Linked DNA regions of Saccharomyces cerevisiae S288C. The protein of the gene in region 4 interacts with the protein of the main gene of each other region in a biochemical or structural test. Each region holds a gene or a part of one and is shown on either strand. Other genes may lie near its edges. The genes, in order: SML1, TEL1, DIF1 and DUN1.

What was found.
Region 1: of the proteins of DUN1 (region 4) and SML1, one has a biochemical effect on the other in vitro, tested with the Saccharomyces cerevisiae proteins (5 studies listed by BioGRID).
Region 2: of the proteins of DUN1 (region 4) and TEL1, one has a biochemical effect on the other in vitro, tested with the Saccharomyces cerevisiae proteins (one study listed by BioGRID).
Region 3: of the proteins of DUN1 (region 4) and DIF1, one has a biochemical effect on the other in vitro, tested with the Saccharomyces cerevisiae proteins (one study listed by BioGRID).

Annotation. Positions count from the first base shown.
Region 1 is NC_001145.3:152,563-160,197, forward strand, and holds SML1 (ribonucleotide reductase inhibiting protein SML1), read left to right. Parts: upstream 1-6,820; coding exon 6,821-7,135; downstream 7,136-7,635. Other genes in the region: 8-oxoguanine glycosylase OGG1, read left to right, coding at 1-439; NTE1 (lysophospholipase), read right to left, coding at 657-5,696; HUG1 (Hug1p), read left to right, coding at 6,198-6,404; CMP2 (calcineurin catalytic subunit A), read left to right, coding at 7,618-7,635. UniProt on the Saccharomyces cerevisiae protein: Strong inhibitor of ribonucleotide reductase (RNR1) and is involved in regulating dNTP production.
Region 2 is NC_001134.8:51,209-61,070, forward strand, and holds the start of TEL1 (DNA-binding protein kinase TEL1), read right to left. Parts: upstream 8,175-9,862; coding exon 1-8,174. Other genes in the region: 60S ribosomal protein uL14 RPL23A, read right to left, coding at 8,614-8,985, 9,490-9,531. UniProt on the Saccharomyces cerevisiae protein: Serine/threonine protein kinase which activates checkpoint signaling upon genotoxic stresses such as ionizing radiation (IR), ultraviolet light (UV), or DNA replication stalling, thereby acting as a DNA damage sensor.
Region 3 is NC_001144.5:1,008,395-1,015,087, reverse strand, and holds DIF1 (Dif1p), read left to right. Parts: upstream 1-3,064; coding exon 3,065-3,466; downstream 3,467-6,693. Other genes in the region: mitochondrial 54S ribosomal protein uL29m MRPL4, read right to left, coding at 1-597; U4/U6-U5 snRNP complex subunit LSM3, read left to right, coding at 910-1,179; CAR2 (ornithine-oxo-acid transaminase), read right to left, coding at 1,313-2,587; ECM30 (Ecm30p), read left to right, coding at 3,843-6,693. UniProt on the Saccharomyces cerevisiae protein: Mediates the nuclear localization of RNR2 and RNR4, 2 subunits of the ribonucleotide reductase.
Region 4 is NC_001136.10:279,807-283,719, reverse strand, and holds DUN1 (serine/threonine protein kinase DUN1), read left to right. Parts: upstream 1-1,871; coding exon 1,872-3,413; downstream 3,414-3,913. Other genes in the region: BUG1 (Bug1p), read right to left, coding at 1-301; guanine nucleotide exchange factor GET3, read left to right, coding at 544-1,608; DNA-directed DNA polymerase delta POL3, read right to left, coding at 3,555-3,913. UniProt on the Saccharomyces cerevisiae protein: Transducer of the DNA damage signal. Phosphorylates SML1 on serine residues. Cooperates with the PAN deadenylation complex in the regulation of RAD5 mRNA levels and cell survival in response to replicational stress.

The DNA.
Region 1 (7,635 bases), on a different chromosome or scaffold from region 4:
CCTCATGTCCTACAATGGTGTAGGCCCCAAAGTTGCTGATTGCGTTTGTCTAATGGGACTTCACATGGATGGCATCGTCCCCGTAGATGTCCATGTTAGTAGAATTGCGAAGAGGGACTACCAAATATCTGCGAACAAGAACCATCTCAAAGAATTGAGGACAAAATACAACGCCTTACCTATCTCAAGAAAAAAAATCAACCTAGAGCTCGACCATATTAGATTAATGCTTTTTAAAAAATGGGGATCATACGCTGGTTGGGCCCAAGGTGTCCTATTCTCTAAAGAAATCGGAGGGACTAGTGGTAGCACTACAACTGGTACTATAAAGAAGAGAAAATGGGATATGATAAAGGAAACGGAAGCAATTGTTACGAAACAAATGAAACTGAAAGTTGAATTGTCTGATCTTCACATCAAAGAAGCAAAAATAGATTAGCTTAAAAAGTCATAGTAAATACCACGATAAAAGCACGCGACCGAAAAGGCGATACATATTCTTTAAAGGAGCTTGAAAGGTAATGATTGAAATATTAGAGATATTTACAGTATAAAACACAAATATTTAGAACGATAAATAATACAGTAAAAAACAATGCAATACCTAAATCTATCTACAAAAAACGGTCACCAAGGCGTTGGAAGATAGAAATCTATCAAATACTATTTCTTCTATGTAATAAAAACTCAGGAACTTGAGAATTCAAAGTGGTTTCTTGTGAACCAGGTATATATGGCATCTTGTCGTCGTCAATAAGCCCTTGCAAAAAGATACGACCATAGTCTACACCCACATGATAAATTTCTTCGAACTTGCTAAAGTCTAATGTGGCATATTCTTCAATAGGTGGTCTCACATAAACGACACCTGGTGTATTTTTCGCTTTCTCTAAAGCATTTACTGATGCGACGTAACCCAATCTAACTTGAATCTCTGCCATATTGGGTATGTTTGGATGAGAAGAAAATGGATTCCATCTATTGAAAATGATCCAAAACCCATTTAGGGAGTCACCATATTCCATAGGCGTTCTATCATCTGCAGAACCTACATCTACTGCAAATATAGTTTGGCAACCACGCGCTCTCATCTCAGTTACTGGTAAATTATCAACATAACCACCATCCAGTAACATAGACCCGTTCTCTTCCAAAGGAGGTAAAAGACCAGCAAGAGACATCGAAGCTCTGATGTACCTCCACGCATAACCAAAGGAATGTATTTCTTGAACCGAATCGGTTATATTAGTAGAATTACAATAATACTGGATCCAGAAGTCTTCAATTCTTGTATCCCCGAAAGTTTTCCAAATACCTCTATTAAATTCGTGACCAGTAGTATAAGAAGTAACCGGCCAGGTTAAATCTGTTAACATTCTCCATATAGAGGAAATTCGACCAGCAAACTTCTTCACGCGGCCGTAAATTGGCACCAAATCATAATCCTTCGCGTACAAACCGCCAACAAAGGAACCAATCGATGTTCCTCCAATAACGTCGACCGGAATACCTTGTTCTTCAATAGCTTGAATGACACCCAAATGACTAATACCTCTCGCACCTCCTCCTCCGAGGACAAGTCCAATAGCTTGTCCAGAAAGAATTCTAGCCAATCTTAGAAAATCATTTTTATGCCTATGAACTGGTGTGTAATATTGTCTTTTACTTTTCATGAATCTTGAAGAAAAGTTTTCTACGGTGTTCTTGATAGAATCTGGAAGTAGTTTTGATATATTCTGTTGAGTTTTTCTACTGAATTCTGTTTGAATCAACTTATCCATTAATGCCAAGGCACCATTATTCAAAACGTGCATTTTGCCTTCGTTCATCAAGGTTGTTCCTGTCAAACTAAATTGAATGTGATGATGCGAATGAACCCATGGCCTATAGCGTAACCACTTATGGGTTAGTCCTGGTTCCACATACCTTTCAGGGTGTAGAAGAATTAACTCGGTCCTTGCGGTAGTCTTTGAATTTAGTAATAACTTTTCATATTCTCCTATTTCGGCTGATGGAGATCTAGCATCTGCTAGTAAGAGAATACAATCACCTTGCGCAATACAGGTTCTTGTCCAATTAGATTTAACTGGTGTATCTGATATATAAACAACAGTCTGGTACATTTCTTCTAGTTCAGCAAAGTAACCACTTTGTTTTAATTTGGACAATCTGTCAAATGCATGACGACCTAAATGTGTTAGGGTAGTTCTTTGATTTAAACCAATCGTGGTCCTTCCTACCTGTTTGAAAGCTTGCACTAACTTCATAGCAAATGCTTCTACAGGTAGTCCACTGGTAATTGGTAAGATAGTGATGGTTCTAAAAGTAATTGTGCCAGAAGTAATATTTTGGGGTTTATGACTTAAAGAGCTAGAGTAAGACGCTTTCGTTGGAGGTATTAAAGAAGTGAAGTCGTTTTCCTTTATAGATAATGGATCGCCTGTTAATGCTGGAACAGTTCTATCTCCGACAATTTTTTTAGCAACTAATCTGGAAACTCTAATCATGATAGATGGATGTTCAAGAGCTAATAGTTCGAATAATGTTCTCGGAATTCTCGCTAATTCAGAATCCCTCACTGCCACTATCGTTGAATATCTATTCATAGCGGTAAGCACTTCAACTTCACCAAAACTCTCCCCCTGGGCCAGTTCTCCTAGAATAATGTTCTGAGTTTCAACTTCTTCGGAACTTGTATTGGAGTTTGACAATGACTGCTGTTGTAGCTGCCTTAGTCTACCATTCAGGACAACATAAATACCGTTAGCCGAGTCACCTTGTGAAAATAGAGTTTCAGAAGCCCTCAAGTGAACCCATTCTAAAGCATGGTCGAGCTTTAATAACCTTGAAGATAGCAATTTGGTTAATGAATCAGAAATCCGTAAGTAGATTAGGAAATATTTATCAAACAATCTTTCTAAGGTTGCACTAGATAAAAATCCAACATAGACATCGCTCTTGGCAACGATATTAACAAATGATTTGTAACCAATTAGAGAGGACAAGTAGCCCACAATACCACCAGATCCTACAGAGTATAACAAATGTTGAGTATGATGAGGATTTTCACCCTTGTGTGAACTTTGGGCTGAAACCTGCTCTGGTTTAGACATTGATGATACTACTGACGAGGACGAATTTGTTGTCACATTAACTTTCCCGGAAATGATATAGAATAGGCCTTTACCACGAGCGTTCTGCTCAACAATTGTGGTGCCCTTTTTAAAGAACTTCAACTGAATGCCTTGTGCAAAGTCTTTCTTGACATCTTCGAAATCCAAATTGGGTGTCAACTCCTCTTTGTAAGCTCTAGGTTTTTTTTTGTCCTGGCTTTTACTTTTATTATGCCTTTTATTGCTGATAGTGTATTCTTTGGGTAGGATTCTTAACATTGTCGGTTGAGTTTGAGGAGAGGCAAATGATGAAGCTACGGAAATGTCAGATGGTGTACAGTGAGGGGACATCAGAAAACTTGCGTTACTTGGACGGCGGCTATACATTTCATTAAGTTGAGGAGAGTTTAAAGAAGACATATTTGCTATCGAAGAAGATGAAACGGACATATTGCTTTTGTTTACACCCAAGTATGTTAACATTGCCTCAACTAAAGCCATTCTTAAAGCAGAGTCCTCGGTTTCTTCCTGGGCAGCAGAAAAGGATGTTGTGGGCAGTAAATTAGGTCTTGGAGAGACCCGTCCCTTCAAATGAACGGGACTTGGGTGGATATGGTCATGAACAGAAGTATTATCCAAGGACAAGGGCGATGTACTAAGTTGTGCGTTGCGCAATTCTGGGGACAAAGAAGAAAACTTCTTAGAGTGTACGGAAGCATTGTTACTGCTACTCCTAGAAGATCGCTTATGTTGGTTAGAGGTAGAAGTGTTAATACCGTTTGATTTATTGCGGTTGTTATTATGGATTGGGTTGGGTGACAGAATATCCATAGTTCTAGACAGTGGGACATTTGACAGTAAATCACCAGGATTAAATTGGTCTCTTGAACCCAGTACGACATGTCTCGAACTTGGATGGTGGGTGAATTCTGGTTTCAGTGAAAGGGAATTCGAACTTGTGTTAGCGTTGGCGTTAGCAATCTTAAGCGATTGAATGATACCATCAGATGGCTTCGCTTTGGGCGGTTTCTTCAATTTAGAGGAAGCATTACTATTTTTGGGTTTCGGTTCTAAATCAGCCGATCCGCTCGACTTATCTACAGTTTTAAACTTACGAATAACGGCCTCTTTCAAATAATAAGGCAATTCATAAACGATGGATTTATTTAGTAAAACTTCGATATCCATGATCTCCTTTGTTAAACCTAAGTAGTCGTGAGCAGTTTGGAACGTAACATGGTATAGCTTGGTGAGAACCATCTGTATGATATGGGAAGCAGACCGTGGGTATTTTGCGGTTAATTTGGCAAACGATTGAGGTGGGATAATACCAATTGTGCAGTCTGTAGCCGCACGGGCGACAAGTTTAGGCATTGAAGAGGGGAACGTTGGAAAGCTGTTGGTGGAGTTTGTCATGGAATCTGTGTTGGAGAAGTTCTGCTCTGATGAGCAGAACATATTGTTGACCGACACCGTTGTGTCTATAGGTGACGATAACTCAGAGGGAAAGTTACTGTTGCCATACGAGGACATGGAATGCGTGAATAAGTTTAAAATGCTCACGAGGGAGGTCAGCGGGTTTCCTGGCTTGACTGTATTTAGCAGTTGAAAATTTCCCAGTCCATTTTTCAGATGAATGTAACCAACGGATTCATCTTCTTCATCGATGAGGTTAGAAGAACAAGATTTGGTGTCGTAGTTATCAATGTCATCATCTTCTTCTTCGTCTTCTTCATCTCTATCCTGGTCGTCAAGACCATCCGTGTCACTGTGGTCAGTTTCATCGCCATGGTCCTTATCTGAATGATCTACTTCATGATATAACTGCAGGGTGCCTTCAACGACGATGGCAAACCCAATAGTACTGTCCAACAGTAAAATCTCACCCTCATCCATTTTTTGAGTTTTCATATTCTTGGTCAGGTCATGGAAGACTGGTTTTTCCAGATAGCCAAAGATTTTGATGGCGCTGAGAAATTGGTCAAGGTAAGATGAAAGAAAGGTTTCGTTTTCGTTGCCATCTTTCAATGAATGCTTTTTTGAGTCTATAATCGAGCTTGCACCCGTGGTAGAGGAACCTATGGCGGGTGGCGCGTTGGCTGACTGAGTGGAAGCTGCATTGATATTGGCGCTGGAGCCAGATTTACCTGTATTTTCCAGCGGCAAGAACTCCGGGGTCAGCCTCTTGTACTGGGATAGAATTCTCTCCTTCATGATGGTGTAAGTCACAAAGACTATGACGGCTAGGGCAAACAGGATCAGCCAAAAGGAAAGAGTGAACTGAACATGGTGTAACTTGAAGAAGATCCACTTCGGAATCCTTAAAAGCGATAAAGTTGCCAGATACCAACCGTACCTGAAGATCATACGAGAGGCACCCATAACAAAGTAGGACACAACCCACGAGAAGTTGAAGAGGGATGAAAGTGACCACGTCTGCGCCTCAGAAATAATCTGGTCGGTGAGACATGTCTGGAATCTATAAGAAGTATAATTACTGGAATTAAAGCTGGAGCCAAGACTGTTTTTCGTGTTTTGGCCGGTATTGTTGGTGTTGTTCGTAGTGCAATTCATTGAACGCATGCAAAAACTAGAGCCAAGCCTTTCTATTCTTTTCTTGTTTATTTTATATTCGTTAGAGTTTTGTGGTGTTTCTTTAACTTAATAAACTTTCGAGAAAAGTGTCAAGTTTCCCAGATTTTTAAGATCCTTATAACCTGTAAAAAAAAAAAAAAAAAAAAAAAAGAAGGGTTTAAATAAAAATCGGACTTACTCAAAGGGTTGAAAAGCACTTTAATATAGGTTTTTAGTTTCGGGTAAGAAGATGTGTCAAAGGTCTCGAAAAGGAAACATTAGGGCAAATACGTAAAGGTTGCCTTCGTATCTCGTTTCCACAGCAACGAGAAACGAGATACGAAGGCAACTGATTCCCAGCATATAAAAGGCCATGAATTTTTGGCGTTTCCTATTGTCTTTTCGAAACTATTTCTTTCATTCCTTTCCTTTCTTGTTCTTTTACTTATAAGAAAAATAATATACGTATATATATAACTACAAACCACATCAGCAATAAAAAAAAACTATATGACCATGGACCAAGGCCTTAACCCAAAGCAATTCTTCCTTGACGATGTCGTCCTACAAGACACTTTGTGCTCAATGAGCAACCGTGTCAACAAGAGTGTCAAGACCGGCTACTTATTCCCCAAGGATCACGTTCCTTCTGCCAACATCATTGCCGTCGAACGTCGCGGCGGTCTTTCTGACATTGGTAAGAATACTTCCAACTAAGAGCATGCTTCTCTTTTTTTTTGTAGGCCAATGATAGGAAAGAACAATAGATTATAAATACGTCAGAATATAGTAGATATGTTTTTATGTTTAGACCTCGTACATAGGAATAATTGACGTTTTTTTTTGGCCAACATTTGAAATTTTTTTTTGTTACCTCGCGCTGAGCCCAAACGGGCTCCACTACCCGCCGCGGTCGCCATTTTGGGAAGTCATCCGTCCCAAAAAGGAAATAGCCATAACATATCGTTACTGTTTTGGAACATCGCCCGTTTCGCCCGATTCCGCCTCAGCGGGTATAAAAAGAGATCTTTTTTTTTCCTGGCTGTCCCTTCCCATTTTTAAATGTCTTATCTGCTCCTTTGTGATCTTACGGTCTCACTAACCTCTCTTCAACTGCTCAATAATTTCCCGCTATGCAAAATTCCCAAGACTACTTTTACGCTCAAAATCGCTGCCAACAACAACAAGCCCCTTCCACATTGCGTACCGTGACCATGGCGGAATTTAGAAGGGTGCCTTTGCCACCTATGGCTGAGGTTCCTATGTTGTCTACTCAAAACTCCATGGGCAGCTCCGCTTCTGCCTCCGCTTCTTCATTAGAAATGTGGGAAAAGGATTTGGAGGAGAGACTCAACTCTATCGATCATGACATGAACAACAACAAATTTGGTTCTGGCGAACTAAAATCTATGTTCAACCAGGGTAAGGTCGAGGAAATGGACTTCTAAAGTTCCTTTCATACTCTTTTCTTTTCTCTTTCCATTTCCCACTAGTTCTGTTCTTTTCTTCTCTTAGATACCCTTCTTTTCAGGGACTCTCGTCCTACTATTGTTGTCATTCTCGAAACATTCTCTCCCGTGCATTTTCCTTTCCCTTTATATACATATATATATATATATATATATATGTCTCTTCTACGTATTTTTGTATTTCTGTGTCTTTATCAAAGATAGTCTATAATACGTTTGATACAGCTAGATATCGCTAGCGCCAACATTGTCCCCCTCTCTTGATCAATGCTTTTTTTCGGCCCGAGACAAATGAGAAAATGTCCTAAAAATACCTTTCATCAAGACTCCTATTTTTCCTTAGAAAAAACATATATCCAACTGGAACAGTATTAAGCCAATTGCTACGATACAAACAAAAGGAGATATTCCTTCCCTCCCATAGAGTCACACAGGAGCCAGTACTTCTTCTTGAACCCGCAATGTCTTCAGACGCTATA
Region 2 (9,862 bases), on a different chromosome or scaffold from region 4:
TTATCGAAATTTGTAATTTCATGTTCTTCTTCAAATAAGTGTTCGTATTTTTTAACTGGTGACATTACCCAGGAATAAAGGGGATCCCATTTTAAGATATTCAAAACACACATCACCTTGACATAATCTTTTCTTAATACTGCGTAAACTCTTTCACAACTCCGCCTGAATAGGCCATCCACGCCTGTGACTCCAAATCCATCAACGATATCTCTAGTTAATCTGAAAGGGACCAACTCTGGAATGGGGAGTAATTTTCCCTGATCAAACGCAATTCCCAGGTCTATATGAATAGGCTCCCCTGTTGAGCAGTCAAGCAGGATATTGTTTAAGTGCCTATCACCGAGGCCTAATATGTATCCAACGATAGAGCTAGCTGCGACACCTTTTGTGTACGTTTTCTTAGCTTCAAACCAATCCAACGGATCGGGAAAGGAATCAAAAAAAAAGTTTCTTAACTGCGGTTTTATTTCATTAGTGATTTTTAAATAAGCTTTCAGCCTCTCTTCATTTGATTTTGTTTGAACTGCTTTCATGCCTTTTCTTGCCTGATCGAAGGTTATCTTATCGTTGGTATGTAGCTTACTCAAAATTTGATGTAATGATGTAGAATTTGCGACAAATTCAATGATTCCTGCCTTTGGTCCTAATGGAACCACTTTGTATGTTCTAATACCCAGATCTAGATTTCTTAATACTTTATCATTTTGTAGAACTTTATTAACTTGTTGAAACACTTGTTCCATAATTGCATCTTGTCTCAAATCGTCATTACTTCCTTTCATCAAAGCTTTCTGCGTTGTACCATCTGAGATGTTGAAGGTGACTATTTTCGGCAGGGACAATCCTGTGGTAGTAATGCCTACTGTTTCATTGACGGATACAATATAAGGGCGGGCTTTTCTTCCATCAGCAGAACTTTTGACTGTAAAATTACTGGTCGGTAGGGGAAGCTTCTCCATGTTTAGCTGTTTCAGCCAATATTGGCCAATCTTCAAATTAGCTAAGCGTAACGTCTTCGTATTTTGCACAAACTTAAGATTAGCTAACTCTACAGACATCTCGCAAAACTCTTGCACAGGAAGTAAATACTTTTTCGCAAAGGCACCCCTGTCATATCCTTGCAATTCTAAAAGAATCTTTTTGACAGCTTGAATTTTTTGGGATATGTTGGTGTCCTTATTGGATTGCTTTTCATATAGTAGTATGCTCATCACTGAATAAAGGGAGTCATACGGTAGTTTGTAAAGAAGTCGTTTCATGGTTAGTTGCAATGGCTTTTGAAATTCATTCTCCTCCATAGATATTTTTGACGCAATCTGATTGACCCAGGGCAAAAACTTCCAGCTCGGTATTGTTCCAATTTCTTTATATAGTAATTGATTGATCTTGCTATTGTCATCATTCTCGAACCATAAACCACAAAACTTATCAATAATGTCATTATCATATCTGTTGCTGAAAACTAAGGTATTGAGATAGAAATGGAGTGCATGCCATAAAAATTTTTCTTTTTGAAGAAGCAGTGCCTTTAGTACTTCAGAATCTCTATTATATTGTAGCAAGACACGATTATAATGCCTTTTCGCATCTTTTCTTTCATTTTCTGGTAATTTTGTGTTTTTATATATCAGCTCCAAAGCTTTCAAGGTAGATTTTCCAGTATATGACCTATGTTCTCTATCTTCGATTTCTCCATTTGATCGTAACTTTTGTGCCTGTTCATCCAGAAAACTTCCGAGTGTGTAGAAAACATCAGAACATGATTCATGATCTTCGACATTTATATCCCAATTGACAATGATTTTTTCATATATTGCAGCAGCTGGTTCAAGCCTTGATTCTGAGCTCCATTTAACTAGTCGAGCTTTAATTTGGTCCATAGGCACATTAATGAGTAGCTTAAAATCGTCATAAAGGATACTTTCGCTAATATTCTTCTCATTTTGAGCTAAAAGATCTCTCATTATCATTACAGGTGCCTTGTACTCTCGAGACTCCCAGAGGGCATTAGCAGATGTGAAACTTGCCAATTTCTCAATTTGAGATACTACAGAGGGATCATCGTATAATTTTGCAATATTCTTCACTGTTTTGCTCATTAGAGTGGCATTTCGTAACGCATCTTGAGGCGCACCATTGGCAATTGCCAGCTGAACGTAATTAGCAAGCTGAATAATGGATCCAAGGCGTAAATATTTCGAGCATTTTACGTTTTCATCTAATGAATTCCTCGAGAGCACATTCATTAAAGTATGTCTACTCTTTAACGTTGTTTTGTGATCATAGAAGTCTATTGTATTAAGTCTCTCCTTATCGGCCTTCATAATAGACATCAATGTTTGGGGGAAGGAAGTAACGTCCTGAGGGATTGCTGCTATTTTTATAAATTCAATAATCGCGTTCAGAGTATCCATCCATTCAGTTTGGCTAATAAAATGTTGTCGAGAATCAAAAATAGTTAATAAGGATTTTTCTAAACTTTTTTCAGCAAAACCAACGTCCTGTGGTAAATTTTTTATGGCATAGTATAAACCTTTGGCTTTGGAATCAACAACTTTTGGAGTCAATAGCTTCCAGTCTCCCAATTCTAAATTCCATTTGTAGACATCACTGGATCCAGAAAGTCTACTTTCCAATAAGCTTGTCAACCCGTAGAAACCGCTATCTTCTGTGGCCTTGATTAATGATTCCTTTTCCTCTTCTAGTGAAGTAGTGTAATTGGCATCAAAATCGGCGTTGTTGAAAAGAAAACGTTTCCACGTATCTGAGTCAATTCTATTGATAGAGTTCAAAACACCCTCTATTGAGTGTGGAACAGGTAAGCCTGCTAGAAAATCGCCGTCATTTATGCATTCGTAAATCTTCTGAAGTGTATTTATATTCATTTCTCTTATGTTTGGCATGTTCATTTCCTCAAATAACAAATAGCCAAACTTGAACTCTTTTATTTTAAGAGAAATTTGACATATTTCTTGTAAATCTAAGCTAGAATATATGCGCAGACAGTTTCGTTCCTTGCATCTAGAACCCATCCTAATCATTTTAATTACATTGAAAAGCATCTTTAGCTTTATCTCAGAATCTTTAACATGCAGCAACATTGCTATTTGAGTGAATATTCGATTGCTCCAATTCAAACAGCTTTTCGGATCGTAAGTCGTTGAAAGAAAAAAGAGGTCAGTAAGTACTAATTCACAAAAAGCTGTTGATCCTTTGCATAAAGGATACAAGCAAACAATAGGAGGTATATTAAATGATATTTGGTGAATCAAACTACGGGCGAATTTGCTTAGCCAGCAGTTGTAGGGTTCGTTCACTGACAAATAAGTATCGCATATGAATGATTCCATCCCAAAATTGTTTGCCAACGGGTATATAGCATTCAGTACATCCTTGTCCAATGGAGCAACTTTATCTTTGTTCTCGTTCATTATGTTATCCCTAAAACAAAATTCACTTTCGCTATTTCCTATTGAGTAGCCCACTAGGTACGTTAGAATGCACTCAGAAATAAAAAACACTTCAGTAGAATCATATAACTCAGCTTCTTTATTGAAGGTCGAAATACGTTGGTATATCATATGTGGTTGTTCGGGATGGCGAAATACCATTTCAAAGTTTTTCAAATGAACTTCATTATTAAAGTTTGTAGATCTCTCTCTTTGAACTTCTTGCTGTAAAATTCTTCTTGAAAGAGCAGCGAACCATAGTTTGAAGTTTTTACTCAAATATTCCTTTGGAACATGGTGTTTCAAAATGTTAATTGCAGCAGCTTTAGAAAGCGAACAACCGATTTTTGAAGCTACCGGTCTCCTGGCATAAGAAAAGAGTAAAGAAACCAATACAACATCGTCTACGCCACAATCACTAGCATCCAAAAGTTCCGTATTTTCATAAATATCATCTTGGACTATATTTCCGAATATTGCATCAAGGCAGTATTTCCAAGTTTTTATTTTGATGAGATCCCGATGCTCTAAAAGCTTTATAGCCTGCTGGAAGGATGGACTGAGCTGTTTGTTTTCCCTCAAATAAATGAATATTTTGCAAAATAAATTGGGCAGAGATGGCTCTATTTCAAACGTATTTTTGTCAGCCAGATTTAACAATGAGCTGAAAATTGTTATTACTTCATCGTGAATTTGTGTATCTATTAAGAATTTTGAAAGCCGAATTATGATGAAGTTTAAAGTTGATGATTTTACAAGTACATTCTCATACAACACAAAAAGATATTTTAACTCCCTTGCACATCGCAGTTTTCCTATGTAAGTCGATGTCTTTTCAAGGTCTGTAATAACCGATAAAAACAAAAGCTTGAATTCGTGTGTGTTGTTCTTTTCATGAGCAAACTGCGTCTGAACTAAGGTTGCTCCTAATGCCAAGGGTATATGAAGTGGGTATTGATACCTCATTGAAACACTGGAATTTTCAAATAAATATGGCGAAAGGTATGAAGTTGGGAATAATTTTTCAACAGTAGATCTAAGTTCAGTAAGTGAGCCCAAATCAGTAAATCTTATGATCCACTTTAACATCAGTAGACGGTATTTTTTATGGTATTTTACTGTTGTTTTACCTGATATTTGGGGCAATATATCAAATATTAGTTCATTCACACCGCCACTGATAAAGGCAAGTGGAATACACAAGTAATAGCTGTTATCCACCAGATAAGCATCACCGTTTCCAGTAATCGCGTGTAACATGTCTAAGATCCATTTTTGGTTGAAACCTTGAGAAAAGTAGATTGCAGAAATTTCTACAAAGTATCTTCCTAAAAATTCATGAATATCGGCAAATCCAAAAAGAGATATATCCCATTCTTTCTCCAATTTAGAAGTAGGGACTTTTGTTCTGTTAAACCAGTACATAATCAAATCAAACTTACAATATTCGAAGAGCTCTGTAAGGTTTTGGTAGCGAAAAGCGACCGTAATTTTGTTCAGAGCTTGTTGGATAAACGCACGAGTATGATTGAAGCCAGAGTATGTCATCATATCCTCCAAAGAAAAAACTAAGCTTGGGTAAGACACCAAAGACAACATGGACATTGCAAGAGAGTAGAAAGCGGACTTTTCAATACTTTGCTGAGGCGGACCAAATAAGCTCTTAATCTCATAAAATATGATACTTTGATTCTTATAGCTCACTTGGGCCATATAACTCGAAATACTGTTCATTATGTTAATAATATTGGAGGAGTCTAGCTTTTGCAGGCATTTAATAAAAGTTGCAAAGACTCTCTGCTTCCCACCTCTGATTGATCCGTGGGAAAGATCATGATTTTGAAGTAGGCTAAGCAGCAGCATAGAAAGGTTGACCGTAGGGGCCACACCAGTGAAAGAATTGTCCTCAAATCTAGATATGATCCAGTCCAGGATATCATTGCAGTCCGAATTCAAAGGCTGCTCGGGGTAAGATAACCATTGAGGTCTTATTGCTTCGATATAAGATGTAAGTAAAAGCATAGCTTGATTGGAAGAACTATAGTGGTTGCAAAGCAATTTTTCACCCAAGACTTCAGTGAATTCTTCCAGGATTTTGTTGTAAGAAGATTTCTCCCCGATTGCTTGTTTTAACCACTGGCAAACAGTGCCAAGATAAGATATAAATACATCTGTGCTAACGCAATCAGAAAATTCCAATATGGCTACCAAACGCTCTGAAATGGATTTATTTCTTGAAGACCATAGGTAAGCTCGCACTGCTTTATCTATAGTGGAGTGCAGAGGCTTCTGAAATCTACCTCCAATTGTGTACGGACTATTATTCTGGGTAGTGTCTTCTGAAGAGGCTTCGAAGTAATTGATGGCAGAAGTTCCTGTTTGAGATTTGTTTTTTTGCATCCTGATAAAATCATTAACGATTTCCTTCATATTAATTTTGTCAAGCACTAAATGGTCTACATTTATGGTCCGTATCGATAAAACCTCCTCAAAAAATGATTGGTAGGAGTTTTGGCTATCAAAACTAAGTTGTGGAATAGTTATTAAGGTTGTTCTCTTATATGCTGCAATAAACTCAGAAAAAGTGGAATCTCCACAAAGATTATCAACTATTTGTATTAATTTTGCTACCCAAGTAAATTTTTGTAGTGGAGATGAAAATGCATCACTTTCAATATTTTCCAGTAATCTGTAAAGAATTTCATTATAACGTGTGAGGTCTAAGGAAACTTTTGGTAAATTAAAAAAGGGAGTGTTAAAACATTCTGACTTTTCTTCTGGTTTTACGCCTAAAAGAAATTCCCTCTGCTCTTGAAAATGTTGCCAAATCTTGTGGCTTTCATCCCAACATAGTGAGACAGGATTAGCTCCTTCGCCTTTTTTATCGTTGAAAGGGTTCTCTGGGTCATATTTGTTACCTAACCAGGATATAAAATTGCAGAACTGATCCTGTTTAGCATCAGTTCCGCGCAACTGGTTCCACTTTGATTTTAGCCACTCAAAAATTCTATCAGCGGACGATATACCGTTCATAGATTGGAAGTCTTTACCAACGTACTGAAGGTATCCCCATAGCATGAACGATTCATTAGTAACTAATATGGGACCCAAAATATCGGATAATTCGTAAAGATCATATATCTGATTGATAGTTTTCTCATCGGATAAAAGCTGCTTTGAAAACTTTATGGAGTTGGCTAATAAAAGACAACTTAACTGGCAAGATTCATTTGATTTTACTAATGGTAAGCAAACTTTAAATAGGCGTGCCATGTCGCCATTGCTTAATTCGCATTCTTTTTGGGATAATAAAGGAATAAAAGAAAAACAAACCCAATTAAAGCATTGGATTTTTTCGAATTTTGAAAACAGAAGTTCTTTCAGCTGTTCTGCAAAACTTTTAGTGAAGTCTTGTAAAGTTCCATAAAATGAGCACAATTGTAATCCTAGCACTTCAAACTCATGTGAGCTGTTCTCCTCTAAAAGATGAATAAGAAATGTGTCCATATCGTCAGAAATCCGTAGGATAGAAGGTATATCCGAATCACATTTTCTTCTTTTAAATAATAATGAGTAATTTTCATTTTTTCTGTTCAATGCAAAATATGTTAACAATGATTTGGTAATTCCGAGTATTTTTAACCACACCGATCTGCCTCCCCTATCTCTAAGTCTAAAATCAGGTAATGCAAACCATGAATTTTTATCCCTTGAACCTCGAATATATGAGAATTCCACATGGTTTACGGTAAATAATTGAGGCTTATAATTACTTAAGCGCAGTAGAATGTACTCACGGTATAGAGATACAAGAGATTCGGACCGAAGCTCTTCAACATAATTCTCTTGACCAATCATATAAGGAAGTTTATGGTTCATTAGTTCACTTGACATAACATCAAACAGTGATAATTGGTCTTGTACTAGCTCATTGGAAGTACAGCCAATTGTCAGGTTGTAACTCCATGCTTCTTTTATAAGCATTAGCGTATCAATAACACTAAAACAATGGCACTTCAAAATTAATTGATTTATTAATGACATTATTAATCTCGTATTTCCATTTTCTTTTTTGCTGAGCCTCAAAAAATCTATTACGGTCCAAGTAATTGTCCTTGTCACTTGAAATATACCAACTGTGTCTAACGCCAATAAATTCAGGAGGATCGATATGAAATTGGTCAATGTTTTGTCTACCATAGATAATTTCATTTGGCTTTGAAAGTACTCGCAAATTTTATCGACTAAGGATATCCATTGGTGTATCATGAATTTCAGTTTGAAAGGGTCACTTTTAATTAGGGCATCCAAAGCAAACGATAAATGTACTGAAACGGCATCCAATAAACTTTTGGAACCATCTTTGACCATTAATTCAGGTACTACTGCTAAAAGTAACTTCAACGTTTTCACTTTAAATCTCTCACATGATTTTTCTACAAATAATCTTAAAACGTACGATATCGTGGAGAGTCTGTTCTCACTAAGTGATAGCTTGTTTGTGGTTGACACTGTCAAGTTTCGAAGAAGGTCACAGTATTTTGTGTGTTCAGATGCAAGTAACTCTACCAAAGCTTCTGCCGTTGTAGATAGGGCCTTGGTTGGTATCCTTTCCGGATCTTCTTTTAAAATTGTTGTTAGCTCATCTAAAGCATTGTTTCTCTCTTTGATTTTTGTTGATGATAGAAAGTTTAAAGTTTCTACAATCCCATGATCCTCCATCGTCTATGTTACACTGATTTCCCTTTTTCTTTGAAGGCTTTTTTTTCGAATTTCCTGCTTTTTTTGCGAGGCTTTGAGAAGTCAATTAGTCTTGATTATTCTATTAACTTGGAACTAATTTACCTTGAAAAATGTCAAAATATGCATATTGTACGGCTGGTGCCATACTTGTTTCTCACTAGCAAAACATTCTATCATCTGTTATTCTTACCTTCTTAACGTGTCTGTTTGCTTTTTTGACGTACCCCAAAAAATATATAGACCCTCCTATCACGCTCATAATATCATGTGATTCTCTCGATGAACGATAATAGTAATATTTTCATCTAAAAATGCAATGAATTATTGAGTTTCTTTAATCTGTTTAAGAGATTGTTATTTATAAAGAAAATATATATAATTGAAGAATCTAAGAGTATGAGTCAAAATAATTTCCTTTTTACACAACAACACCGGAGTTAGATGCAACTCTTGGCCATAAATCGGCACATTCCTTACCGACTGGACCAGTGATGGCGGAACCCTTCATTTCACCCTTAGGATTAGCGATGACACCAGCATTGTCTTCGAAGTACAAAAAGACACCGTCTCTTCTTCTCCAAGACTTAGCTTGACGGACAACAATAGCTGGCATAACCTTCTTTCTCAATTCTGGCTTACCCTTCTTAACGGTGGCCATAACCATATCACCTAGAGAGGCGGCTGGCAATCTGTTCAATCTGGAACCAGAGCCTTTGACGGCGATAATGTACAAGTTTCTGGCACCACTGTTGTCAGCACAGTTCATGATGGCACCGACTGGTAGACCTAACTAGTTAAAAAAGATCTCAATATCGGGGAGTGAGAATAATTTTGTTAGTAAAAGCATAGGGAGAAAGTTAGCAGATGTGGTTAATCTTGAAAAATAGAGTTAAGCGTGATTTTTGTAGAAATAACATTTCGATGGTTATCCATTAGTATGGGCAAAAGAGGGAGTTAGGATATGCTTGCCGTGTATGATTTTGAAACCAGAAATTTTTGAGTCCATGAATATTGACAGGTATCACTTCATCTGCAAATACAGCCCGCTTAACCATTTAAAAACTGAATTTATGTGTGTAATTGCATCTTTGGCGGGGCGGTACCAGTGATGGCACATCTACCATTCTTATGGAAAATAACACCGATAGGTATATGATCAGGCTTCACACTTAGTGTTTAGCGTCTTTTAAACCTCTGTTTAATTCTGTTGTACCCAGCAAAATGAAATCTTGGAACTTTACTTTATGATCAATTTAACCAAATTGCATTGTGGAAAATAAAAATTTTAACATACTGAGATTCTAAACTTAGTACCTTGAGCACCGTTACCGGACATTATTAGTTATATATAGGTGTGTTGGTTTTGTATTGCTTGTAAGACCTAAGAGTCAAAATAAAGAAAGTAAGAGATTTTTAGCTACTAACCTTAGCAATACGATGGTATTACTATTAGCGGGAACAGGTACATTATGGCTACAGTTCGTTTCCTGCCATATTAATTTTTCAGCCCGAGCGTGTTTGGGTTTGATATTTTCTTTTTTACCTCTTTTTCAACATTTCCATGCAAGTCTGATGACGGTTGTACGGCTCGTTCTGTGAGCCGGATAAGCGATAAAAAAACTTGGTCTGTTGAAAATAATAACTGCATGGGTTTTTCAAAGCAGTTG
Region 3 (6,693 bases), on a different chromosome or scaffold from region 4:
GGCGACTTCGTCATCAGGGATATCCTTGTTCAAGAAGTAATCGTTGGCCAAAGTATCCAAGAACTTTTTCCTCTCCGATTCATCCTGTAAAAATTCGCGTGAAGCGCTATAGGCCAGCTCTCTTTCGTTAAGTACATGTCTTATTTGCCACATGGTGGTTCTGATAGAGTTAGAGAGCTCACTGAATTCGTCATGCGTGGAGCCAACAATGTTTTTCAAGAGATGGTTTTCGCGAGCAAGCACATTTTGCTCCCTGAGGCAGTTGTACCAAAGGGAATGCAAGTCGTTAAAGGACTTGTGCCTCAACTCTGGGATGCTCCAGGGTCTGATATGGCTGGAAGGCGGCAAGTCGTCGGCGGACCTGATGAATTTCTTGTTGGAGAAGAACTGCCACAGCGGGTGGTCGTCGGGACAGCGCAGGTTTGAGGTTGTTGGTGGGATTGGTTCGGTAATCCTCAGGTTGTTGGAGTGATGAGTCAATTGAGTGGGCGGTCTTATTTTGTCTTTGGGAAGCACCGGTTGTTTTGGCTTTGGTTTGGTAAACTTTGTTCTGGCACGCAGGGGCCCTCCTTGGGAGTGGAACGATCTCTTCCACATTTTTATTATATTTTTATGGTATTTTTTTCTAGCCGCAGAGATAGAATGGTACTCTCTTACCAGGGCTCGATAGCTTTCAGGGCAATTCTTTTAGTTTGCTGAAATGATATTTTTTCTTCTTCCTGATGCGCCCTTTTGGCTATCCGTGCTGTGTGATAGGTCGCGATATTGAAAGAAGAAAAAAAGCAAGAAAGCTGAGGTTTGAACAAACAAGAGGCAGGATGTTTCCATCCATTCTAGCAACCAATACAACAGGGGAGAGACACGCAGATAAATACACACACACACACAACATCACGCACACTCAAGAAAATGGAGACACCTTTGGATTTATTGAAACTCAATCTCGATGAGAGGGTGTACATCAAGCTGCGCGGGGCCAGGACGCTGGTGGGCACACTGCAAGCGTTCGACTCACACTGCAACATCGTGCTGAGTGATGCAGTAGAGACCATATACCAATTAAACAACGAGGAGTTGAGTGAGTCCGAAAGACGATGTGAAATGGTGTTCATCAGAGGAGACACAGTGACTCTAATCAGCACGCCCTCTGAAGATGACGATGGCGCAGTGGAGATATAAGCAAAGAGGAGGAGAAAACAAAGGGAAACAGTACGTATTTTTTTATTTTACTTTTAGTATATTAAAAATGTGTAAGATATAAAACAAAAAAAAGAAAAGAAACGAGAAAACATAAAAAAAATGCGTATTAATATTATAACAGATCGATACACTTGGCAATGGTTTCGACACCGGTTTGCAAGTCCTCTTCGGAGATGACCAAAGGAGGAGCCAATCTGATGATGTGGTCGTGGGTGGGCTTAGCCAAGAGGCCGTGATCCTTCATCAATAGACACAAGTCCCAAGCGGTCTTACCATTGGCCTTGGATGGGTCGATTACGATGGCGGTAAGCAGTCCCATACCACGCACCTCAGAGATTATACCGTTAGATTTGGCTTGGAGAGCTTTCAATTGGGCGATGAAAGAGCTACCCAGTTGGGCGGCTCTTTGGCACAGCTTCTCGTCGCGGATGACCTCGAGGGCGGCGATGGCAACGCGGGAAGCCAAAGGATTACCGCCGAAAGTAGAACCGTGAGATCCTGGGGTAAAGCAAGACATGATGTCGTGAGAAGACAGAACACATGAGACGGGAAGAACACCACCTGAGAGAGCCTTACCTAACAAAACAATATCAGGCTTGGCCTCTGCCTTGTAGTGGTCGTAGCAAAGCAACTCACCGGTTCTACCGATACCGGTTTGAATTTCGTCAACGATCAATAGGACGTTGTGCTTACGGCATAATGCGGAGACCTTTGGGAAGTAGTCTGCGGGGGGCACGACGATACCGGCTTCACCCTGAATTGGCTCTAGAATGATGGCGGCAACGTTCTTACCTTCAGGAGATTCCAAGATAGGGACGAAATCTTCTGCGTGGCCGTATCTGATCTTGTGCACGGAGTGACCACTGGCAACGTTAGGCACGAAAGGCCCGAAATGCAACTTGGAGTCCTCGTAGTCGGTACTCAAACTGATAGCACCGAAGGTTCTCCCGTGGAAGTTACCCTCGGCACCCAGAATGATGGCTTTATCTTGAGGGATGTTCTTCTTCATGTACCCCCATCTTCTGGCCAACTTCAAAGCAGTTTCCACGGCTTCTGCACCGGTGTTCATGGGCAAAACGGTTTCGAACCCGAAGAATTCGGTCACGAACTTGGCGAATTGCGCGTAAACATCGTTGTGGAACGCTCTGGAGGACAATGTTAGTGTTTGTGCTTGCTCCGTCAAAGCCTTGATGATGTGAGGATGGCAATGGCCCTGGTTGACGGCAGAATAAGCGCTCAGGAAGTCGAGGTACAGCTTACCCTCCGGGTCCCACACATGTGCGCCCTTAGCCTTGTGAAAAACGACGGGCAAGGGGTGGTAGTTGTGGGCGGAGTATTTGTTTTCCCATTCAATGGTTTGCTTGGAGGAGAGGGTAGCTTCGGACATTGGTGTTGTGGTTCTGTGCTGCTGTGGTGTCTTGTGGTGTAGTATCCTTTGCTGTAATACGAACAACCGCCATATAACAACAAGACTCAACGTATGGTGGCCGCAATTTATATATGCAATCGAGTCAGCCAGTCAGCCGCTAAGGGCAAGGGCACGCGACTACGGCGTCGGCTAGCGCCGCTAACGGCAGGGGACGCCAGGTCCTGCCGTTAACAGAGGGCAGAATTTGTCCGTGCGCACATTTGCGTGTGGTGCATGGGTTCTATTCCTCATTAGCGCGGCTCGTACCACGCGCTTTTTTCTTCTCGTTTGTTTGTGTGTGTGCTTTTTCTTTTTCCCGCCAGTGGGGTATTTATTTATCTAGTAGCAACAGGCAAGGATTGGAGAAGAAAACAAAGAAAAAGAAACAGCAAGAGAACCCAGATCAAGAAACGCACGCTTTACATCACACACTAATACAGGAACAAACAAGACTTAATGGACGCACAACTGGAATGGGCAAGCAGCCTCGTCCCAAAGAGACAGCTTCAACAACAACAACAACAACAGGAGCAGCAGCAGCAGCAGCAACAGGATTTCCACAAGGACCAGTTGATGACTGTGGGTATGCGAATCAGACAGCGGGTCGACCAGGGTTATGCATCGAGGACGCCGAGCACCTCGGACGCTTCACTACAGCCGGGTGTCATTAGAGATTACTCGAGCGTTATTGTTCCGCAATTTACAAGGTCGCCCTTGCCCACTGCTAACTCGCTACCACCTATGCTGATAAACCAGAGAACAATGTCGACCGAGGCGTCCTCGCTCGAGAAATGGGACGTCGCGGAACCTGCCGCGGAGCACGAAACAATGGTTAATGGATCCAAGAGAAGACTTTAACAGACTTGCACAATTTTTTTTATCTCTCTCTTTTTTTCTCTCTTTTTCCTACTTTACTTTCTCTTTTATAGATTCTTTATATAGTCTTTTCTCTTGTTCGCACATTTTTTATAGAGGATATAACAAATAATAAAAACTATCGCAGTTGCTTTGGCTTCAGGGGGTTTTTCCTTGCTTTTCCGCCGGTTTACGTGCTTAATTTCGGTGTTTTTTCTTTCGGGTAAACCTATGGAGAAAAAAAAAAAAAAAGACCTCTATTTATTGAGTACACAACATACACGTACAGGTAGATAAGCAAACAAATCAGAGAAAAAGCTAATAGAGAAAGAAATACACACAAATCAAACCATAAAAATTCTCCCTTAGGCTATGCATAATGGGAAATACTGACTCCAAATCCAGTTCGATCCTGCTGAACCACTGCATCGCTCTGGTTCGACCGGAGGACGCAGATGCGTCCTCCCCTTCACGTACGTCGTCGCCCTCGCCCTCCCTTTCAGTTGATGCTGATCCGTTGAGTTTAAACCTGTCAATTTTTAAGCTGGATTCTGGGCCTGACGTTGAAGCGTTGTTCAGCGACAAACCAAATGTCCCGCTAGATACCGTCTTCAACGATTTTTACTTGGACTTCATATCAGTGGACGTGCAGGACTTCAGCATTAACTCTAGTTTTAAAAAAATCCTGCACATTATCTCTAGTTTGAACCCACCCAACTTCAACAACTTGATTGTCTTCCTTTCGCTCTACATTATTCTTTCCGCGAACTCCTTGCCCGCTTCCCGTACGGGACTTCATTCTTCGCGGCTTATCAACGCCATAAAGACCCTTTCCATCCTCATACCTATTTATTTTGACCGGGTCAAGTCTAGCACGCAGGACCATTACGATGTCTTTTGGGCCACGCAACATGAAATTGAGGGTCTTCCCTTGCAAAACATCCCACTGGGAGAAAGACTACTGTTGGCGATCTTGAAACTGGCTTTCCAAGATAATTTCACAACTGCCGTGACCGCCCACCCAAGCGAATTGTGGGAAATCGGCATCTTGACTAATTCCAACAAGTACCGCTCACTACTGAATATGCATCATCAGTGGCATCTTTTTGCCAATAGACTGCTTCTTTTACGTCTTTTGGCAGCTTTATTTTCTTCGGACTTGTACACGAGCGGCGGTAAACAGGACATAAACATGTTTCTTGTCTACTGGTGTACTCAAATGCCTAAGGACAAAAGCATTCAATTCACTTCCTCGCTATTAAATTGCACGATGCGGTTTATACTTAACAATAATAAAGACTTCCAGAGCTTGAAGGCTAATTTTTTCAGCTCCGACGCCACCGCAAGTAATTGGCAGACGCTTTATTTTCAATTTGTGCAGTCTTGTCTGCACGTTTTAAATCTCTCCATGTCATATAAGGCCCAAGACAATGTCATTACCATTTTCCTCACCCAATTACAGCGAGAGTACGATTTAAAATTAATTCTTTCTAGTTTCATTAAAATTTTCAAATACCCCATCGATCTCGCCATAGAACAAGAATCAAACATTTTTAACTTCACAAACAATAAACATATTGATGCCAGCAGAAGGAGAGCCGTGTCGACGAGCTCTCACGATAACAGTTCATCTTCGCATGCTTCGTTGCCTAGTTCATCATCGGCGGCATACCATACGAAACCGCAAACAAAGCCACAATTACCAGAGATTCATCCTTTGTTGATACCTATGACTATTCTCATGACAAACTTGATTGATTGCAATAAGTGTTTCCAAAATTATTTTGCAGACAAGTTTGCAAGTAGATTCATCATTTTTTCCATCTACTATTTAAAGTATTATGATTATTCATCGTTGTCGTCGTCTTCATCAACAACACGCTCGAATTCTTCCACCACGAGCAACGGCACATCTAACGATACGAGCAACGAGCGTTCTATTGTGGAACTGAACGAAAATAGCGTTTCACAGATCTTGTTACCTTTACTCAATCATCTTCTCCTGATTTTGACTTCAAAAAAACTTGTTCTCTTCAAAATGCTACAGACTTTCAACCTTAATTATTATACAAATAATTTGCCAAATTTCTACAAACTCTCCAACATCAACGGCGATATAAATAATTTGACGTTCAGAGATTTTACAGTCATACAATTATCGAATTTGATTTTAGACAACATTAAATTCAATTTACAACCGAATCCGATTTTTTATGAATTGATTTACAATCTGCTGCCAATTAATGACGAAATTTTGACCAGTTCTCACAAAAATGATGATTCACATGACGATTTAATTCTATTATCAGCAAAGAAGAAGTCCGCATCACCAAGTGCAGCCACCTCTAGTCATACATCCTCGTCCAAACTATCCTACAATGCTGCAATGTCCCTACTTTACGTTCTTTCTAAGTCATCAAATAAGGTTTATCTGACAACTTACGCTACGCCTGTCTTCAAGACAAAAGATATACCGTATATGATCTCACCGGGTTTCAAAATGGATTTGTTGGCGTTATTATTAAGGTCAATCACAATATTTTTCACCTTATATTTTGACGATGCGGAGAATCTACTATTTGCAATGGTGAGACATCAGTCCATCACTCACCAAATAAATGACTCTATAAATTCTATATCCAAGGCCTTAGACATGAATCCAAATTTAAATTCGCATATCATGACCTTGAAGCAAATGGGATTCAACCGGAAAGTCCAATGGAAGGATTTCTATCAATTTGAAGAGATAACTGATTTGCCTCAAGTCAATCTTTATTCTTCAGCAAATCAACAACATCAAAATCAGCAACAAGGCCAAAATGACAATCGAGGCCAAAATCAAAATGAGGACCCAGGTCAAGAAAACGAATCTCCAACTCCTTATTTGCTTTTCAATCCTGCGTCATTAGAAAATGAAACACCTGGGACAGTTAAGCATTTTTCAAGTACGAATCATGATAAGAACTACCAAGTCATTGCATTCATTGATTTCAAGTCAGATTCAAATCTGAATTTGCAACATCAATTAGAGTATTGGCCACATAGACCTCAATGGCCTACACCACTAACGTTTACTCACAAATGTAAAAATCCCAAATATGAAAATTTTAATGAAGTTTGGTCCGGTACAGTTTATTTACAAATTCTTTTGCGGGTTATTAAGCAAATTTTGTCGAAGGTTCCTGAAATTCCGAGAATTAAATCGGTGCAATATTTCGAAACTTTATCGA
Region 4 (3,913 bases):
CCGAAGGATCTGATTTAACCTGTTCTATTTCTTTTTCTTCACTCTCCTCATCCACGTCATTTTGATCGTTGTTTTCACTTTTGGTGGAATTTGCTTTCACAGTCTCCTCCTGTGTGGACTCTTCGCCTGGTGTGCCCTCTAAATCAGGAGTTTCAGATCCTATAGAGCCTGTGGCACTGCTATTTTTATTCTTCTTACCTTTATTCTTTTTATTTTTCTTTTTCTTCAATTCTTCTACTCTCTTTCTAGCCTCTTCCAATTGTTTCATACGCTTAACTTCATCAGACTCCTGTTCAGACATTGTAACTATATGATAAACTTGCTCAATTCAGGTTGGTTCAATGCAAATTATTACATCCCTTTTTTATCACAAGATCTTCGTAACAATAGTACTAATTAATAGTGCTGGGGATTCTCAACCATTTTTTTTTTTTCAAAAGCGAAAATGGATAAAACGGTGGCAACTTCAAACAAGTTGAGGGAAGCCAACGCAGCGTTTAGGAAAACGTACGACAAGAACAAGAAGATCATCACATTGTAATTATGGATTTAACCGTGGAACCTAATTTGCACTCTTTAATTACCTCTACCACTCATAAGTGGATTTTCGTTGGTGGTAAAGGTGGTGTTGGTAAGACTACTTCATCATGTTCCATTGCTATCCAAATGGCTTTGAGTCAACCAAACAAACAGTTCCTACTGATCTCTACTGATCCTGCCCATAACTTAAGTGATGCATTCGGTGAGAAATTTGGTAAAGACGCCAGAAAGGTGACAGGCATGAATAATCTATCATGTATGGAAATCGATCCATCCGCTGCTTTGAAGGATATGAACGACATGGCAGTTTCACGCGCTAACAATAACGGAAGTGACGGTCAAGGTGACGATCTAGGAAGCTTGCTTCAAGGTGGTGCTCTTGCTGATTTGACCGGTTCCATCCCTGGTATCGACGAAGCTTTATCCTTCATGGAAGTCATGAAGCACATTAAAAGGCAAGAACAGGGCGAAGGTGAAACCTTCGATACTGTTATTTTTGACACTGCTCCAACTGGCCACACATTAAGATTTCTACAACTACCAAATACTTTATCCAAGCTTTTGGAAAAGTTCGGTGAAATTACCAACAAATTGGGCCCAATGCTAAACTCTTTTATGGGCGCAGGTAATGTCGATATCTCTGGAAAATTGAACGAGTTAAAGGCTAATGTCGAGACCATCAGACAACAATTCACGGATCCTGACCTAACGACTTTTGTTTGCGTTTGTATCAGTGAATTCTTATCCTTATATGAAACTGAAAGACTAATTCAGGAATTGATTTCCTACGATATGGACGTTAATTCCATCATTGTCAACCAATTATTATTTGCTGAAAACGATCAAGAGCACAACTGTAAGAGATGTCAGGCAAGATGGAAGATGCAAAAGAAGTACTTGGACCAAATCGACGAATTGTACGAAGATTTCCATGTCGTTAAAATGCCATTATGTGCTGGAGAAATCAGAGGCTTAAATAACTTAACAAAGTTCTCACAGTTCCTAAACAAAGAATATAACCCTATTACTGATGGCAAAGTCATTTATGAGTTAGAAGATAAGGAATAGAAGCCCCTGAATACCATAAATAGATACATACGACATATAACCATAGAAAAAATAGTAATACGATGGTATGTGTGTGAAAAGAAAAAAATTACGTGACGCGACGCGTTTGTTTACTTTTTTCCATTTTATTTCCATGGTATTTTTCAAATGATTTTGGAAAATTATTAGATATTGTTGAAAAAGGAGGAAATGAGAACCCTTTATAGTCGAGAGTAACAAGTAAAGGGGCTTAACATACAGTAAAAAAGGCAATTATAGTGAAGATGAGTTTGTCCACGAAAAGAGAGCACTCTGGTGATGTAACTGACTCTTCATTCAAAAGACAGCAACGAAGTAATAAGCCCAGCTCAGAATACACTTGTCTGGGCCATCTGGTGAACTTAATACCCGGAAAGGAGCAAAAAGTGGAAATAACAAATAGAAACGTTACTACAATCGGTAGAAGTAGGTCGTGCGACGTTATATTGAGTGAGCCTGACATCTCGACTTTCCATGCTGAGTTTCATCTACTGCAAATGGATGTGGATAATTTCCAAAGAAATTTGATTAATGTTATCGATAAGAGCAGAAACGGAACTTTTATTAATGGTAATCGTTTGGTGAAGAAAGACTACATCCTTAAGAATGGTGACAGAATTGTCTTTGGCAAAAGTTGCTCCTTTTTGTTCAAGTACGCATCTTCATCTTCTACTGACATCGAAAATGACGATGAAAAGGTAAGTTCAGAAAGTCGTTCATATAAGAACGACGACGAAGTTTTCAAGAAACCGCAAATAAGTGCTACAAGTAGCCAAAATGCTACAACGAGTGCCGCAATTAGAAAACTGAATAAGACAAGGCCTGTGTCGTTCTTTGATAAATATTTATTAGGTAAAGAATTAGGTGCAGGGCACTACGCCCTGGTGAAAGAAGCCAAAAACAAAAAAACTGGTCAGCAAGTAGCTGTGAAAATATTCCACGCTCAGCAAAATGACGACCAAAAAAAGAATAAACAATTTAGGGAGGAAACTAACATCCTAATGAGAGTGCAACATCCAAACATTGTCAACTTACTAGATAGTTTTGTAGAGCCAATCAGCAAATCTCAGATTCAAAAATATTTGGTACTGGAAAAGATCGACGATGGCGAACTATTTGAAAGAATCGTCAGAAAAACATGTTTGAGACAGGATGAATCCAAAGCTCTATTCAAACAGTTACTTACCGGATTGAAGTATCTGCATGAGCAAAACATCATTCACAGAGACATCAAGCCAGAAAATATCTTATTAAATATAACAAGGCGCGAAAATCCAAGTCAAGTCCAACTTGGCCCATGGGATGAAGATGAAATTGATATTCAAGTTAAAATAGCGGATTTTGGCCTAGCAAAATTTACAGGAGAAATGCAATTCACAAACACACTTTGTGGTACGCCTTCTTATGTAGCGCCCGAAGTCCTCACAAAGAAAGGATACACATCAAAAGTAGATCTTTGGAGTGCTGGTGTCATATTATATGTCTGTTTATGTGGTTTTCCTCCATTCAGTGATCAATTGGGGCCACCTTCATTGAAGGAACAGATCTTACAAGCTAAGTATGCGTTTTACTCTCCGTACTGGGATAAAATCGATGACTCAGTACTACATTTAATATCCAATCTTTTGGTCCTAAATCCTGATGAAAGGTACAATATAGATGAAGCTTTGAACCACCCTTGGTTCAATGACATACAGCAACAAAGCTCGGTCTCATTAGAATTGCAGCGTTTACAAATTACTGACAATAAAATACCCAAAACATACTCAGAATTATCTTGCCTCTAAACATGAGAAGCATTATTTCAAAAACATTGTTTGAATCTGGATTTTTCCAAGTATCTATTTATATATACATATATATCCACCAACATGCAAAAAGTTGTTAGCCTTTCTTAATCCTAATATGATGTGCCACCCTATCGTTTTTTACCATTTGCTTAATTGTTCTACTTTCTCCTGCAGCTCTTTTTTAACCTTAACCCGCATATAAAAAATGTCACAGTTCTTATTTGAACACAAAACTTCACTATGTAAGTTACCAGCGCACCTTTGGCATTGTGTCCATAATCTTGAGTATTTTTCCTCTAAATCTCTGACATCGTATAATGCCTTTATGTATAATTCTCCAGACCTTGCTAGACAGTTTGAACAAAGAGGGCCTTCACCTTTCCTCAACGGACCTTTACAACTTTTACAAGCCTCAACTTTTTTAATAAAGCTCATCAAGCCTCCTTTTTGAGAGCCTGTGTTAATTTTAATGGATTTCACAACGAACATACCGTTCG